2 linked regions of the Macaca mulatta genome follow. The main gene of each other region encodes a partner of the protein of the gene in region 2 in a complex. Links are inferred from orthologs where the notes say so. Each region holds a gene or a part of one and is shown on either strand. Other genes may lie near its edges. The genes, in order: CDC7 and DBF4.

Evidence for each region.
Region 1: the proteins of DBF4 (region 2) and CDC7 are in contact, whole or in part, in a crystal structure (PDB 6YA8), measured with the Homo sapiens proteins. The link is inferred for Macaca mulatta from reciprocal best matches to the Homo sapiens genes DBF4 and CDC7. Residues at the interface, in NP_006707.1 of Homo sapiens: Thr210, Arg211, Thr212, Gly213, Arg214, Leu215, Lys217, Pro218, Phe219, Val220, Lys221, Val222, Glu223, Asp224, Met225, Ser226, Gln227, Leu228, Tyr229, Arg230, Pro231, Phe232, Tyr233, Leu234, Leu236, Met239, Pro240, Ile242, Asn243, Tyr244; in NP_001127891.1 of Homo sapiens: Asn56, Val57, Phe58, Ala77, Gln78, Leu79, Gln80, Ile87, Ile93, Pro94, Thr95, Ser96, His97, Pro98, Ile99, Arg100, Ile101, Ala102, Leu105, Gln106, Thr109, Lys121, Tyr122, Cys123, Phe124, Arg125, Asn127, Asp128, Val130, Leu143.

Annotation. Positions count from the first base shown.
Region 1 is NC_133406.1:148,789,979-148,796,351, forward strand, and holds part of CDC7 (cell division cycle 7-related protein kinase), read right to left. Parts: intron 2,527-6,373; coding exon 2,377-2,526; intron 1-2,376. UniProt on the Homo sapiens protein: Kinase involved in initiation of DNA replication. Phosphorylates critical substrates that regulate the G1/S phase transition and initiation of DNA replication, such as MCM proteins and CLASPIN.
Region 2 is NC_133408.1:131,509,662-131,516,599, forward strand, and holds the start of DBF4 (protein DBF4 homolog A), read right to left. Parts: upstream 3,827-6,938; 5' UTR 3,587-3,826; coding exon 3,541-3,586; intron 2,272-3,540; coding exon 2,096-2,271; intron 1-2,095. UniProt on the Homo sapiens protein: Regulatory subunit for CDC7 which activates its kinase activity thereby playing a central role in DNA replication and cell proliferation. Required for progression of S phase.

The sequences.
Region 1 (6,373 bases), on a different chromosome or scaffold from region 2:
TTTTATTCATTAGCTTGTTCTGAAGTCATAAAATAATTAATAGTATACGTTATCGCATGTCCCCAAGTTATACAATATGCTTTTTTTTATATGACCAAAAAGAAGATTGATTTATAACATTCAGGAAAAATAACTCCAACTAACACGATCGGTCAACATACTTTGTTACAGACTACTATGTGTCAGGAATTTGTTTCAGCTCAAGACTTTTCTTTTTAATTTATCCAATACAATTCACTGAGTACTAAATGACAACCCACAATGGAGCCAGGTTTAAGGGCTGAAGACAGTGGAATAGGTTACAGATAAGAGAAGTAAAGGTGATCTCACTGCTAATCTCAGCTAAGTCATTTCTTTAGGTTACAAAGGGGAACACAGTTGTGTTTGCTGAAATTTTGAGGCTTTTATACTCAGTCCAAAGTTATAGTAAGATCTGACTGAAATAACTACAGATGTCATACTAATACAACTGAGACAAGTCCTATGGCATTATTTTTATTATTTGTTTTTTGAGACAGTCTTGCTCTGTCGCCAGGCTGGAGTGCAATGGTGCAATCTTGGCTCACTGCAACTGCCGTCTCCTGGCTTCAACTGCAGTTCTTCTGCCTCACAGCCTCCCGAGTAGCTGGGACTACAAGTGTGTGCTACCATGCCCAGCTAATTTTTGTGTTTTTAGTAGAGATGGGATTTCACCATATTACCCAGGATGGTCTCATCTCATGACCTCATGATCCGCCCACCTCAGCCTCTCGAAGTGCTGGGATTACAGGTGTGAGCCACCGTGCCTGGTCCTATTTTTTTTTCAAATATGAAAACAAGTATTACAATGATAAATCTCTAAAAGCTCTTGCTTGCTATCATGGCACTTGATCTGGAGTATTTTTGTGTCAGATGTTGTACTTCCATTGTTGGCCCTGATTATAACTTGGATTACCAATGGGGAGATTCAAGCTCTTCAATAAAATATTTTGGTGTTGGCTCATAAACTTCATGTTCATAAACCTCTCACCAAGTTATTCAATAGTAGATGAAAGTTTTCTCAGTTGAGAATAAACATACTTGTTATGTTTATTATTATGTAAGAATGCCATTTCTAAGATATCAATCTTGTTTTCCACTCATGGTCACTTTTCCCTTGTATGTATTATTTCATCCTATTATCTTCAAATAAAATTTTCTTACAGTAAGTACAAGATAGTTACAATTGTGGACCGACTTTGCTGTAGAAACATATTTTGGCAAGCCTCTATTAAGATGAGGCTTTCTTCACAACCACCAAGTTTTTCTTATAGATTGGACTATAGCACTAGTGCATAAGCTAGGGCAGTAATTTCTGCAGTGGTTCTTAAACACCTGTAGTTTCTTAGTCAAAATCACTTGTTTTTTCAAACTAACAAGGCTGGAGCCTTCCTAAGTATCTTATTTTTCTGAATCATATTTTCCAAGAATAGGTAGAGTGGGCAGGCATATGTATTTCTTAAAGATTCTCAGATAATTCTGACATGCAACCCCGGTTAAGACCCGCTGATCCTGGGGCTGAGCACAAGGCAGCCCAGCTACTCTTGAGGTAGGCTGGTTGAACCTTTATCTCCTGGGGTATTCTGTATTGTATGGTAGTAAGCTGACTCAATCCCACTTATTCCTTGGAAAGCATTAACTATAACTGAGCTTGGAAAATAAACATTAAACGGGCATTTGAGTTCAGACTGTTGGCCACAGCAAGGCTGAGATAATTCTCACGTGCCCTATGAAGTACACTGCACATCCCAGTCTTGAAGAACTTGCATGCTAAGGAGATGACATCCATGTCCAATATATGTTTACAATAATATCCCATCAGTTAAGGCCTTCTATGCATTCTGCTTCTCTGCTCCCATAAACCTACACAACCTGACAACACAAATTTCTATTCTCTTCCCTAATCCTTATTATACTATATTAATAATTGTTTACTTGTTAGTATAGCCTAAGATCATTTAAGGCAAGGACACTCTAAGTACCAAGACGTAGTACATCTGATGTTTAAAATACAATAAAAAAGTAAAACATATTATTAAAGGTAAATGTATGTAATAAAAGTCAAACCATAACTAAAAGGAGTTAAGATTTTACTCCTTATTCCTACAAAATTATACAGGTAAACTTTAAATACTGCAAAAGGTATTACTTGTGCTTAATAAGATTAAATGATTATATGTATAGAGGAGAGGTGATACGTTTATTTTCAAGCAATTGAAGAATTTTCTACTTAATATTAGAGAACTTTATCAAGACTCAATGTTTATTTGTAAAGAAAATTTCATAATAATTTATTAAGTGATTTGTAGGAGATAATCAAAGGCATTCTGTTTTGTTCTATAATACAAAACTGCTTACCAAAAGTTTTAGCAGCTTGGATAGTTTCTCTGGATCCCCGAATTGTCATAATTTGGGCCAAAGCAGTTAAATCATCACTTGCTTTATAAAATGGGTATCGTCCACTAAGCAAAGAAAGAAATATGACACCTGCAGACCACATGTCAATTGCTGCAATAGAAGACAAATTTTAAAAATAAATTTCAAGTCTATAATTTTATCATCTAAATCAATAGTCCTCAACATTTACTATGCATTAGAATCACCTTGGGAGCCTTAAAAAATTCAGATGCCCAGACCCAGAGATTTTGATTGAACAGTTCCAAAGTAGGGCTCAGGCATCAATGTTTTAAAAAAAGTTCCTCAGGTGATTTTAATGTACAACCAGGACTGAGAATCCTCACTGCAAAATATGTTTCTTTCTTAAGAAACATGTTGGTAAATTTAAAAGGATACTTAATCATTAGGAAACAATAACTAAATGAACATTTTATAGGATCAAAAGGAATCCAAAAACAGCTAAGAGGGAAAAAAATCTGAATGATCCTTGAGAATTACATACCATACTGGTCAAAATGCTTTCATTTTAGTGAAAAGTAATGAACATTAGAAGCTCTTCTTCAGCTGACACTACCACCAACTGCTGCTATAGAAACCTTTAAAAAAGTATTTTATTTTTATTTTTTTGTGGCTGTAAAGACTTTAATTTTTCTGAGTACACAGTAGGTATATATATTGATGAAGTATATAAGATGTTTTGATACACGCATGCCATGTGTAATAATCACATCCTGGAAAATAGGGTATCCATTCCCTCAAGCATTTATCCTTTGTGTTACAAACAATCCAATTAAATTCTTTTCTTTTTTTTTTTTGAGACAAGGTCTCGCTATGTGGCCCAGGCTAGAGTGCAGTGGCACAGTCTCAGCTCACAGCAACCTCTGCCTCCCAGATTCAAGCAATTCTCATGCTTCAGCCTCCTGAGTAGCTGGGATCACAGGCGTGTCACCATGCCCAGCTTTTTTTTTTTTTTTTTTTGTATTTTTAGTAGAGATGGGATTTTGCCACATTGGTCAGGTTGGTTTCAAGCTCCTGGGCTCAAGTGATCTGCCTGCCTCAGCCTCCCAAAGTACTCTTTTAGTTATTTTAAAATGTACAATTAAATTATTGACTATAGTCTCCCCGTTGTGCTATCAAATACTAGGTCTTATTCATTATTTTTTTTTCCGAGATGGGGTCTGGCTCTGTTGCCCAGGCTAGAGTGTGGTGGTGTGATCTCGGCTCACTGCAACCGCCGCCTCCCAGGCTCAAGTGATCCTCCCACCTCAGCCTCCTGAGTAGCTGGGTACACGGGTGCACACTACCACACCCAGCTACTTTTTTGTATTTTTGGTAGAAATAGGGTTCTACCATGTTGCCCAAGCTGGTCTCCAGCTCCTAAGCTCAAGCAATCCACCCGCCTTAGCCTCCCAAAATGCTGGATTATTCATTTATAACTATTTTTTGTACCCATTAGCAGTCCCCATGTCCCCCACACCCTCCCACTACCCTTCTCAGCCTCTGGTAACCATCTTTCCACTCTCTATGGGTTCAATTGTTTTGATTTTTAGATCCCACAAATAAGTGAGAACATGTAATGCTTGTTTTTCAGTGCCTGGCTTATTTCACTTGACATAATGATCTCCAGTTCCATCCATGTTGTTGCAAATGACAAGATCTTCTTTTTCATGGCTGAACAGTACTCCATTGTGTGTAAGTACCACATTTTCTTTATCCATTCATCTGTTGATGGACACTTAGGTCGCTTCCAAATTTTGACTATTATGAATAGTGCTTCAACAAACATGGGAGTGCAGATACCTCTTTGGTACACTGATTTTCTTTCTTTTGGGTATATACCTAGCAGTGGGATTGTTGGATCATGTAGTAGCTCTATTTTTAGTTTTTTGAGGAACGTCCAAATTGTTTTCCATAGTGGTTGTACTAATTTACATTCCCACTATAGAAACTTTAATCTTCTTAATTCTGGCTGTTAAAGATTACGACCAGCTCAACTTGATGTTAAAAAGCTTTTTTTTTTTTTTTTTTGGAGACGGAGTCTCGCTCTGTCGCCCAGGCTGGAGCGCAGTGACCGGATCTCGGCTCACTGCAAGCTCCACCTCCCAGGTTCACGCCATTCTCCTGCCTCAGCCTCCGGAGTAGCTGGGACTACAGGCGCCCGCCACCGTGCCCGGCTAGTTTTTTTGTATTTTTTTAGTAGAGACGGGGTTTCACCGTGTTAGCCAGGATGGTCTCGATCTCCTGACCTCGTGATCCGCCCGTTTTTTTTTTTTTTTTAAAGGGATATCTCTCCTAATTGTTGACCTCCTAGTATCACCAGGTTATTTGCTCTGTTCCTTCGGCTACTGTATCACTTTTTTTTTTTTTTGAGAGGGAGTCTCTGTTGCTCAGGCTGGAGTCCAATGGCACAATCTCGGCTCACTGTAACCTCTGTCTCCTGGGTTCAATTCTCCTGCCTCAGCCTCCGCAGTAGCTGGAACTACAGGCACGCACCACCATGCCCAGCTAATTTTTTGTACTTTTTAGTAGAGACGGGGTTTCACCATATTGGCCAGGCTGGTCTCAAACTCCTGACCTAGTGATCTGCCTGCCTTGGCCTCCCAAAGTGCTGGTATTACAGGCGTGGTGAGCCACTGTGCCCAGCCCTACATGCCTTTCTTAGCTCCTTTGGTACCTCTGCCTGCTCCTTCAATGTTTTCTCCAAGCCTTAAGTGCTGACTAATGTTCCTCAGAGTTTTAACTTCTCCCTCTGTATACTCTCCCTGATTGGTCCATCCACTTCATGGTTTCAACTGTCATTTATATAATGATGACATTCAACTGCATTTCTAGCCCAGCTCCTTCGCTGAGCATCAGACTTAACTTTGATTCTGTTGGATATCTCTATTTGGATGTCCCACAAATACCTCAAACCAATTATACCCAAAACCAACCTTACTTTCCCCTATAAACCAGTTACTTCTCCTTTACTCTCCACCTTGGTTACTGGTACACATCCAAGTCTCCCAAGCTAGGACTCTGGTAAATATCCTGAATGCCCTTTTCCCTCACCACACCACACCCAAATACTACATCCAATTATCCACCAAGCTCTGCCTTTTCCAACCCTTCACTTTTCTTTTTATTCCTATTACTAATACCCTCATTCACATTTTCATCCTCTCAACTGGAAAAATTCATGCCACCACTCTCCAAAAGCTAAACTGTTTGAACGCCTGCCAGAATGATCCATCTAGAATATACCATTGCCACTTCTTTTGCTTGATTATATGTACAGTATATAGTCCAAACTGTAACAACTGTGGTCTGACCTTGTCTACCTCATTCCAGGTTTATTTCTCACCATTCCTCAACTTGCATCTTAATATTCTAGCAACATTAGACTTTTTTCTTTTTTTCCGAGATGAAGTCTTGCCCTGTCGCCCAGGTTGGAGTGCAATGGTGTGATCTCAGCTCACTGCAACTTCCGCCTCCTGGGTTCAAGTGATTCTCTTGCCTCGGCCTCCCGAGTAGCTGGGATTACAGGTGCACACCACCACACCCAGCTGATTTTTGTATTTTTAGTAGAGATGGGGTTTCACCATGTTGGCCAGGCTGGTTTCAAACTCCTGACCTCAGGTGATCCGCCCATCTCAGCCTCCGAAAGTGCTGGGATTGCCGGTGTGAGCCACTGCGCCCAGCCAAAATGAAACTTTTTTAGTTTTCTGTATGCTGTTTCTTGAGTTCCTTGGCTCATGCCTCTATGCTAACCTCCCAGCCCAATTTACATTCTAAGAGGTCACTTCTTTCATGAATTGCCTTTCATAATCTTTTTGGGTTAGGATAGTTAGATACTCCTTAAATACCTTGTATAAGTTTTACTACCATACTCAACAGGTTATTTTATAATTATTTGATAGTGTGTCCTGATTAGAGTGTGAACAGATGGTCTTATTTATTTATTTACTTTATCATTAGC
Region 2 (6,938 bases):
TATTTGAGAAAGCTGTCATCAAATCACATCGGATAGCTACTTTAAGCTACTTTTTTTTTTTGGAGGGTCTCACTCTGTCACCCAGGCTGGGGTGCAGTGGCACAATCTTGGCTCACGGCAACCTCCACCTCCCAGGTTCAAGCGATTCTCATGCCTTGGCCTCCCAAGTAGCTGGGACTACAAGTATGCGCCACCATTCTTGGCTAATTTTTGTATTTTTTAGTAGACATGGAGTTTTGCCATGTTGCAAAGGCTGGTCTTGAACTCCTGGCCTCAAGCGATCTACCTGCCTCGGCCTCCCAAAGTGCTAGGATTACAGGTGTGAATTAACAGCCAGATAGCCATTTGTAGCCACTGATTGCTAGAGGAACAGAATGGTGCAGGAACTATGTTGCTGTTGGAATTAAGAAGCTAATACTGCTCTAACTGGGCCATTTACTTTCTCTGGACCTCAAGTACTTTGCTTCTAAGATGAAGGGGTCTTTTTTTACTCAATGTCTAAGGTCCTTAACACATTAAGATATGCTTAATAGACACACAGTCAATAGGGTGGCTGGCCTAGTAAACATGACCTTTAATGCTGTCGTATGATCATTACGATAAATATTACTATTACAAGCATGTCACAGTGTTTTAGTTTAACAAAATGAATAGTAAAAAAGTAGAGTAACTTTTCAGAGATAGGTAAATAAAATATCATATTAACAAACAGTTCCAGGAAACTTGTTAGCACATGTTCTTCTGGTAAGTTTCTAGTTTGGGAATTGGCAGGGCCTGGAGGGCTCATGCCTGTAAATCCCAGCACTTCAGAAGGCTGAGGTGGGCAAATCACCTGAGGTCAGAAGTTTGAGACTAGCCTGGGCAACATGGTGAAACCCTAACTCCACTAAAAATACAAAAATTACCCAGGAGTGGTGGCACTGCCTGTAATTGTAGCTACTCAGGAGGTGGAGGCTGAGGCATAAGAATCACTTGAAGCTGGGAGGCGGAGGTTGCAGTGAGCCGAGATCGCACCACTGCACTCCAACCCAGGCCATATAGAACGAGACTCCGTCTCAAAATAAAAATAAAATGAAAAGTTACCAGTCTGGGAATGAAAGGATCAGTTTAGACACTCAAAGACACAGACCTTCAGAAAGTCAAAGTCCAGTATGACCCTTTAAGACAGAAAAAACCTTTATCACCTCATTTGCTAAAATTCATCCAATATTAACCTTAATCCTATTAAGATCCTAGAATTTTGCCTGAGTTTTCTTTTTTTTTTTTTTTTGAGACAGAGTCTCGCTCTGTTGCCCCGGCTGGAGTGCAGTGGGGCGATCTTAGCTCACTGCAAGCTCCGCCTCCTGGGTTCACACCATTCTCCTGCCTCAGCCTCCGAAGTAGCTGGGACTATACGCGCCTGCTACCGCGCCCAGCTAATTTTTTTTTTTTGTATTTTTAGTAGAGATGGAGTTTCACCGTGTTAGCCAGGATGGTCTCGACCTCCTGACCTTGTGATCCGCCCGCCTCAGCCTCCCAAAGTGCTGGGATTACAGGCGTGAGCTACTGTGCCCGGCCTTTGCCTGAGATTTCTAATTTCCCAATCATCTAATCAGTGTACAAGGTAGGAAAGTATCTCCAGATTCTTAATGCAAATTTTTATTCCTTTAATAACATTCATTCTGTTGAAACAGCATCTGTATCGCTCAGGAACAATTTTAACTGTGTGGTTTGCATGGGTGTTCTGTAATAACATTCTTAATTGTTACACTAGTCCATACAAACTTACGTAGCTCCCCAAGATTCATAATCAAGAAACTGCTGTCATCTGGAGGACATTCCAACATTACAGTAAGCAGTTCCATTAGGACAGGGGAGTCTTATACGCTGGGAACTTTATACTAGACTGCTAATCGGAGAAACCTGAAAGTTTTGCCAGTCCACAAAAGGTTAAAACAAATGGTTTTTCATTAACGATAAACAGCTGATAATAATGTTAATCTTGGTGCTAACAGAAGGGTTTAACTTTTCTAAAATGAAAAATTTAAATGATTACATAGTAGAAAGTAGTAGTTACAAATTTTTCCTTCTATGCCAGTTTAGGGTTTTCACTTACCCCTCCCAGATCCTTAATGTCCTTTTGCAGTTTTTCAGATATGGTGACAGAAGGTAAGTCAAGGTAAAATACTTTTCCCAAAAGTGGCTTGTATTTGGATTTTTCTGGCCTGTTATCAGTTTTCAGAGATTTCAAAGATGGTCTGTTTTTTTCATTTTTGACTTGGATTCCACCTGCTATTAAAGATATTTAGAATCAGATGTTTTACACAGACACTTGTACTATTTTTAAAACATTTCATTATACAATATTACAAAATAAAAATCCTTACAATCCTACCAGTTTATTAGCACTGAAATGTATTTCTTTGTAGCACTACTTAGGACAGAGGCAAAATGCTCTATATATTTTCACAGACCGCATATTGTAAAATAATAGTTGACTCAGCAAGAAATATTCTTGTATTTATTCCTGAGGCACGGGACTATATAAAACTCTTTTGAAAGATTTTCTTCTTTAGGATGTAAACTCCATGGGGGTATTTAATACTCAACTACTTATTGAGCATCTGCCATTCTGCTGAACATTCAAAACTGGTGTTTAAACTTCATTTAGCGATGAAAGAATCCTGTTACCCAGAATAACCTAGTCAAGGGTTTCAGACTGCTCAAGTTTTAGTTTCATATAAAGTTTGTCTGCATGTTAACAACTAAATGGTCCATTTCACATACAATTTGTCTTTGTATTAGGAATTTAACGGTCCATTACGAAGAACTAAACCTTTCATTTCATTATTTTCATTAAAAACAGATCTGAGATCCGAGCAACTGCTTTAAAAATTAATTTTTCAAACGCAACCTGTTCTTAAATTGGTAATTACTACACATATACAAATACCTGTACAAAAACTTAGGTGGTGGAATGTTTCACCAAATAAAGTGATTGAAAATGGAAATGTGCTTTTGTTTCCCTGTTTGTAATGTTGAAACCAGCAATGGGATGTTTGAAATACAAATGCTTTCCCCCAACTTATGAGGAAGGGAAAATAAACTTTCAAGGGTTAAGACCAAAAATCCACCCACAATCACTCAATCTAATACTGAAGCGAAAAGCGACGAGCGTGTCTGACTTTAAACTGAGGATGCTGTCCGTCGCCTCCAAGGGCCCGGGCGGAGGCGCAGCATCTGCGGAAGCCGGGCAGAAGAGAGCACGGCAGCCCCAGCGAGGTCCCGGATCTGCACATTGTTTGCTAGTTTTCAACCGAAGGCACGACCGGGAATGAATCTGGGTCCGCCGCTGTAAAGGGCAGAGCGCTCGAGGGGCCGGGCCGGAATCCGTTCCTTCTTAGACAAAACACTGAAGGAGCCCCTTCCTTCAGACCCCAGAGGAGGGCGGTCAGAAAAAAAAAGCTGAGGAACCGGCGGGAGAAGTCTGAAGAATCAATGGTGGAACCACGAGGGGAGGAAAGGATTAAAGGGACTGCAGGCGGAGGAGGGGCTTCTTACCCTGGAAATGCCCTTTACTGTGGATCCTCATGGCTCCGGAGTTCATGGCAGTCGCCCGGTACCTACATGCTGGGTCCGGAGAAAGTGTCGCGCTGGGCGGCCACGAAAGCACGGCTTCCCCAGGCCTGTTGACAGGACGGCCGCCTCTCTCCTTCCGCCGGCTACGGCCTCCACGCAGCAGAGGTACCGCGTCTGCGGGTCGAGTTTCCGGGGCCGGATCCGGCTCCAAAGCGCGGAGGAGGAAGGCGCAAAGCACAAACGAGTGGGTTGCGGCGGTTGAAGATTTGAAAACGCGTCACGCGGCCGCGGCGCCGATACGCGCGCCCCGCCCCGTCTCACGCCGCGCGCCGTGCCCCGCCTCGCGCTCGCCCCTCGTGCCCGCCTTCTCGCGCCGCGCGCCCCGCCCCCTCACGCCGCTGTCCTTGTGGCGCCTCGCTCGGTCTCCGCAGGATATGTGTTCCCCTCTGCCCCGCTCCCATTCCGATGCCCTCTCAGCCTCTGACCCCGGCTCTCAGTCCGCCGCTTCAGGTCTTGGCGCAGCCACAGAGAGTTGGCGCGGCTCTGTGTTGACCAAACCTAGTGGATGCAGTTAGCGCTGGAGCCCTGCCCCGCCCATCACCAGGGTTATTTCCGCCTTCTAGGTTTGCCAGGACCGCCGGCCTTCCAGCTGCTTTCTCCCCCAGGTATGCTAATTTTCCACTGGTCGGACGTCTGGGAGGCTGAAGGCGAGGGGCTTCGGCCGATCCCGGACTCAGCTCTGGCCGGGGCCGGAGCCGGGCGGTGGCGGCAGCCGCAGCCCCTGCTCAGCGCGCCCTGGGTCGCACAGCCAGCGGGGTTTTCCCGCGGTCACTGCCGACCCCGCCGGCTGAGGACAGGCCGCAGAGCGACTTGCGGGAGAGAGAGCGGTCCCGGGGGACGTCGGAGGGAGGAGGCGGCCCCCGGTCGTGACGGCAGCGACACCCCAGAACGCGTCCAGGTCACTTTGTGTCCTTGGGTAGTTGGCTATTTGCGCTGCCCTGTTGACTTTTATTGTATACAGAACTGTTTTTGTTTACTTGTGTGTAACTTTATTTCAATAATGAAGGAGTGGAAAGTAACATCACATTTTTTTTTCTGTAAAACAGATTAAAGATCAAATTAAAATGTTGTGAATATATTTTAATTTTATAAGTTGGAACATGCCTCGCCAAAAAAAAATCTGTTTCTTCGGGAGGAAGAGGATGTTTTGAACTATTTTGCGTTCCTCTACTCCAGGCCATAATAGGCACTCCTGTAATGGTTGTTTTTTTTACCTGGTAGCTCAAGGAAGTCAGAGTGTCAGCGTTACAGTTTTGCAGGTAGGTACCTCAAAGAATAGACAAGGGTGGGTTGTGCCAATATTAGCTGGAGAACTCAGAGAACACGTTTGCTAAGGGAAATGAGAGTTTGGTTTTAGACAGGTTTATGTTGAAGGCCCTGGGGCGACAATCATGGAACTATGCTTATTAGACAGTTGAAGATGTTTATGACTCGAGAGAAATGTCTAGGAAAAGTGGACATGGGAAGAGGAAATAGAGTGATTTGATATCTCTCCAATAAAATATTTCTACCTCACGGTCTGTTGATTTTAATCATGGGGCAGTTCATTAAAGGTTAACAGATCTTGAGTGGTGGAAGGAAGTGTGGTTTAAGTAAACATATTCAATATTGTAATTTCTATGGGAACTTATTTTCAAAATACAAGCTACAGAGAGCACAAAATGTCTATATTAACAGAAAGATTTAAAAAGTTGGGAAGCACTAATATATAATGTAATTAAAGCTCTGGGAGGAAATGAAATTGCCAAGGAGAGCATGTGAAATGAGAGAACTGATTAAAAGCGTGGTTGATGAAATACTGAAAGATATGGAGGAAATGCCACAGAATTGGGAAGAGACTGCAAACATTAGAATCATATGGGCTTCACTACTTGGCCTCTGGGTAATTTTGAGCCCCAATTTTAATCTGTTAAAAGGGGGTAATACTTCTCAGGGATGTTGTAAAGGTTAAATGAACATTTTTGAATGCTTAGTACAGTACCTGGCACAGAGGAGAGCTCCTTAAGAGCTCTGTAATTATATCCTAGTGAGCGCTGCACCAGTTCCTTCATCCCCAGGACAGGTAAGATTAAGACTTGAAAAATACGTGTTTGATTTTGGCGTTTCAGGTATCATTGGTTTCCTTAAGGGTAATTTGAGTGGGTGGCGGAGATGAGTACAGTACTAGATAAAAATGATCAGCTTGAAGTTCAGACAGGTTGAGTGTACTCTTTCAAAAAAATTGTTATTTTAGGAAAGTACAATGGAGGGAAGACTTGATCTTTGGAAGGTTTAGAGGATGTGGGAAAGATTTAAGCATGCTTCTATTGAGGAACATTTTTTCAAAAAAGGAAGTCCATTTTATGTTCTTGTGAAAGATGAGTTGTGTGTCTTATTTACTGTGAAGAGGAAGGACAGTAACATAGTTGCACCCTATGCTGTTAGACTCACCCTTGACTGCACTGAAGGTGGTAATTCCGAGCAATAAATAAACAGGAAGTCTGCTTTACTCGATAGTTAGTAATTTTCTAATCTATTATCCGAGGTTAGTTTTTAAAAATATTACTGGAACCTAAATCTTTTAGTAGCCACAGAAAGGACGTGGCTATAGTCAGTAATGATACAAACCTCCTTTTTATTGTCCAGTGGTCAGGTCTGTTGGTAAGAGGATGGGGTTTGTCTTAAAGTAGATCTTGAAAATATGCTTGAAAACATTCCTTCAGAGGAAGGGTAGACATTCAAGAAGTGAATGGGGGCGGGGTTATTTATGGTGAGAAACTATGTTCAAGAGTTATATTAGGCAAAATTGGAGAACATTGAGCAGAATCATGATCTAATTAAATGAATATGTGGCTGTGAATCAAGAGAAATGAATTTTATTAATTACCTGCCCTATCCCTAACTAGTTTTATGACCTTGAGCAAATGTTAACCTTTCTGGCAGGGCATAGTGGCTCAAGCCTGTAATCCCAGCACTTTGGGAGGCCGAGGTGGCGGATCACAAGGTCAGGAGATGGAGACCAGCCTGGCTAACATGGTGAAACCCCGGCTCTACTAACAATACAAAAATTAGCTGGGCATGGTGGTGTGCGCCTGTAACCCCAGCTACTCAGGAGGCTGAGGCAGGAAAATCACTTGAACCCAGAAGGCGGAGGTTGCAGTGAGCTGAGATCGCGCCATTGCACTCCAGCCTGGGCGACAGAGCGAAACTCCATCTCAAAAAGAAAAAAAAAGTTAACCTTTCTATGCTAGAATTTCCTTATCTATAAATGAAGATAATATTTAGTCTACTCCACAACTTTCTGTGATTATCAGAGATCTAAATCTGATCTTTCCGATTAC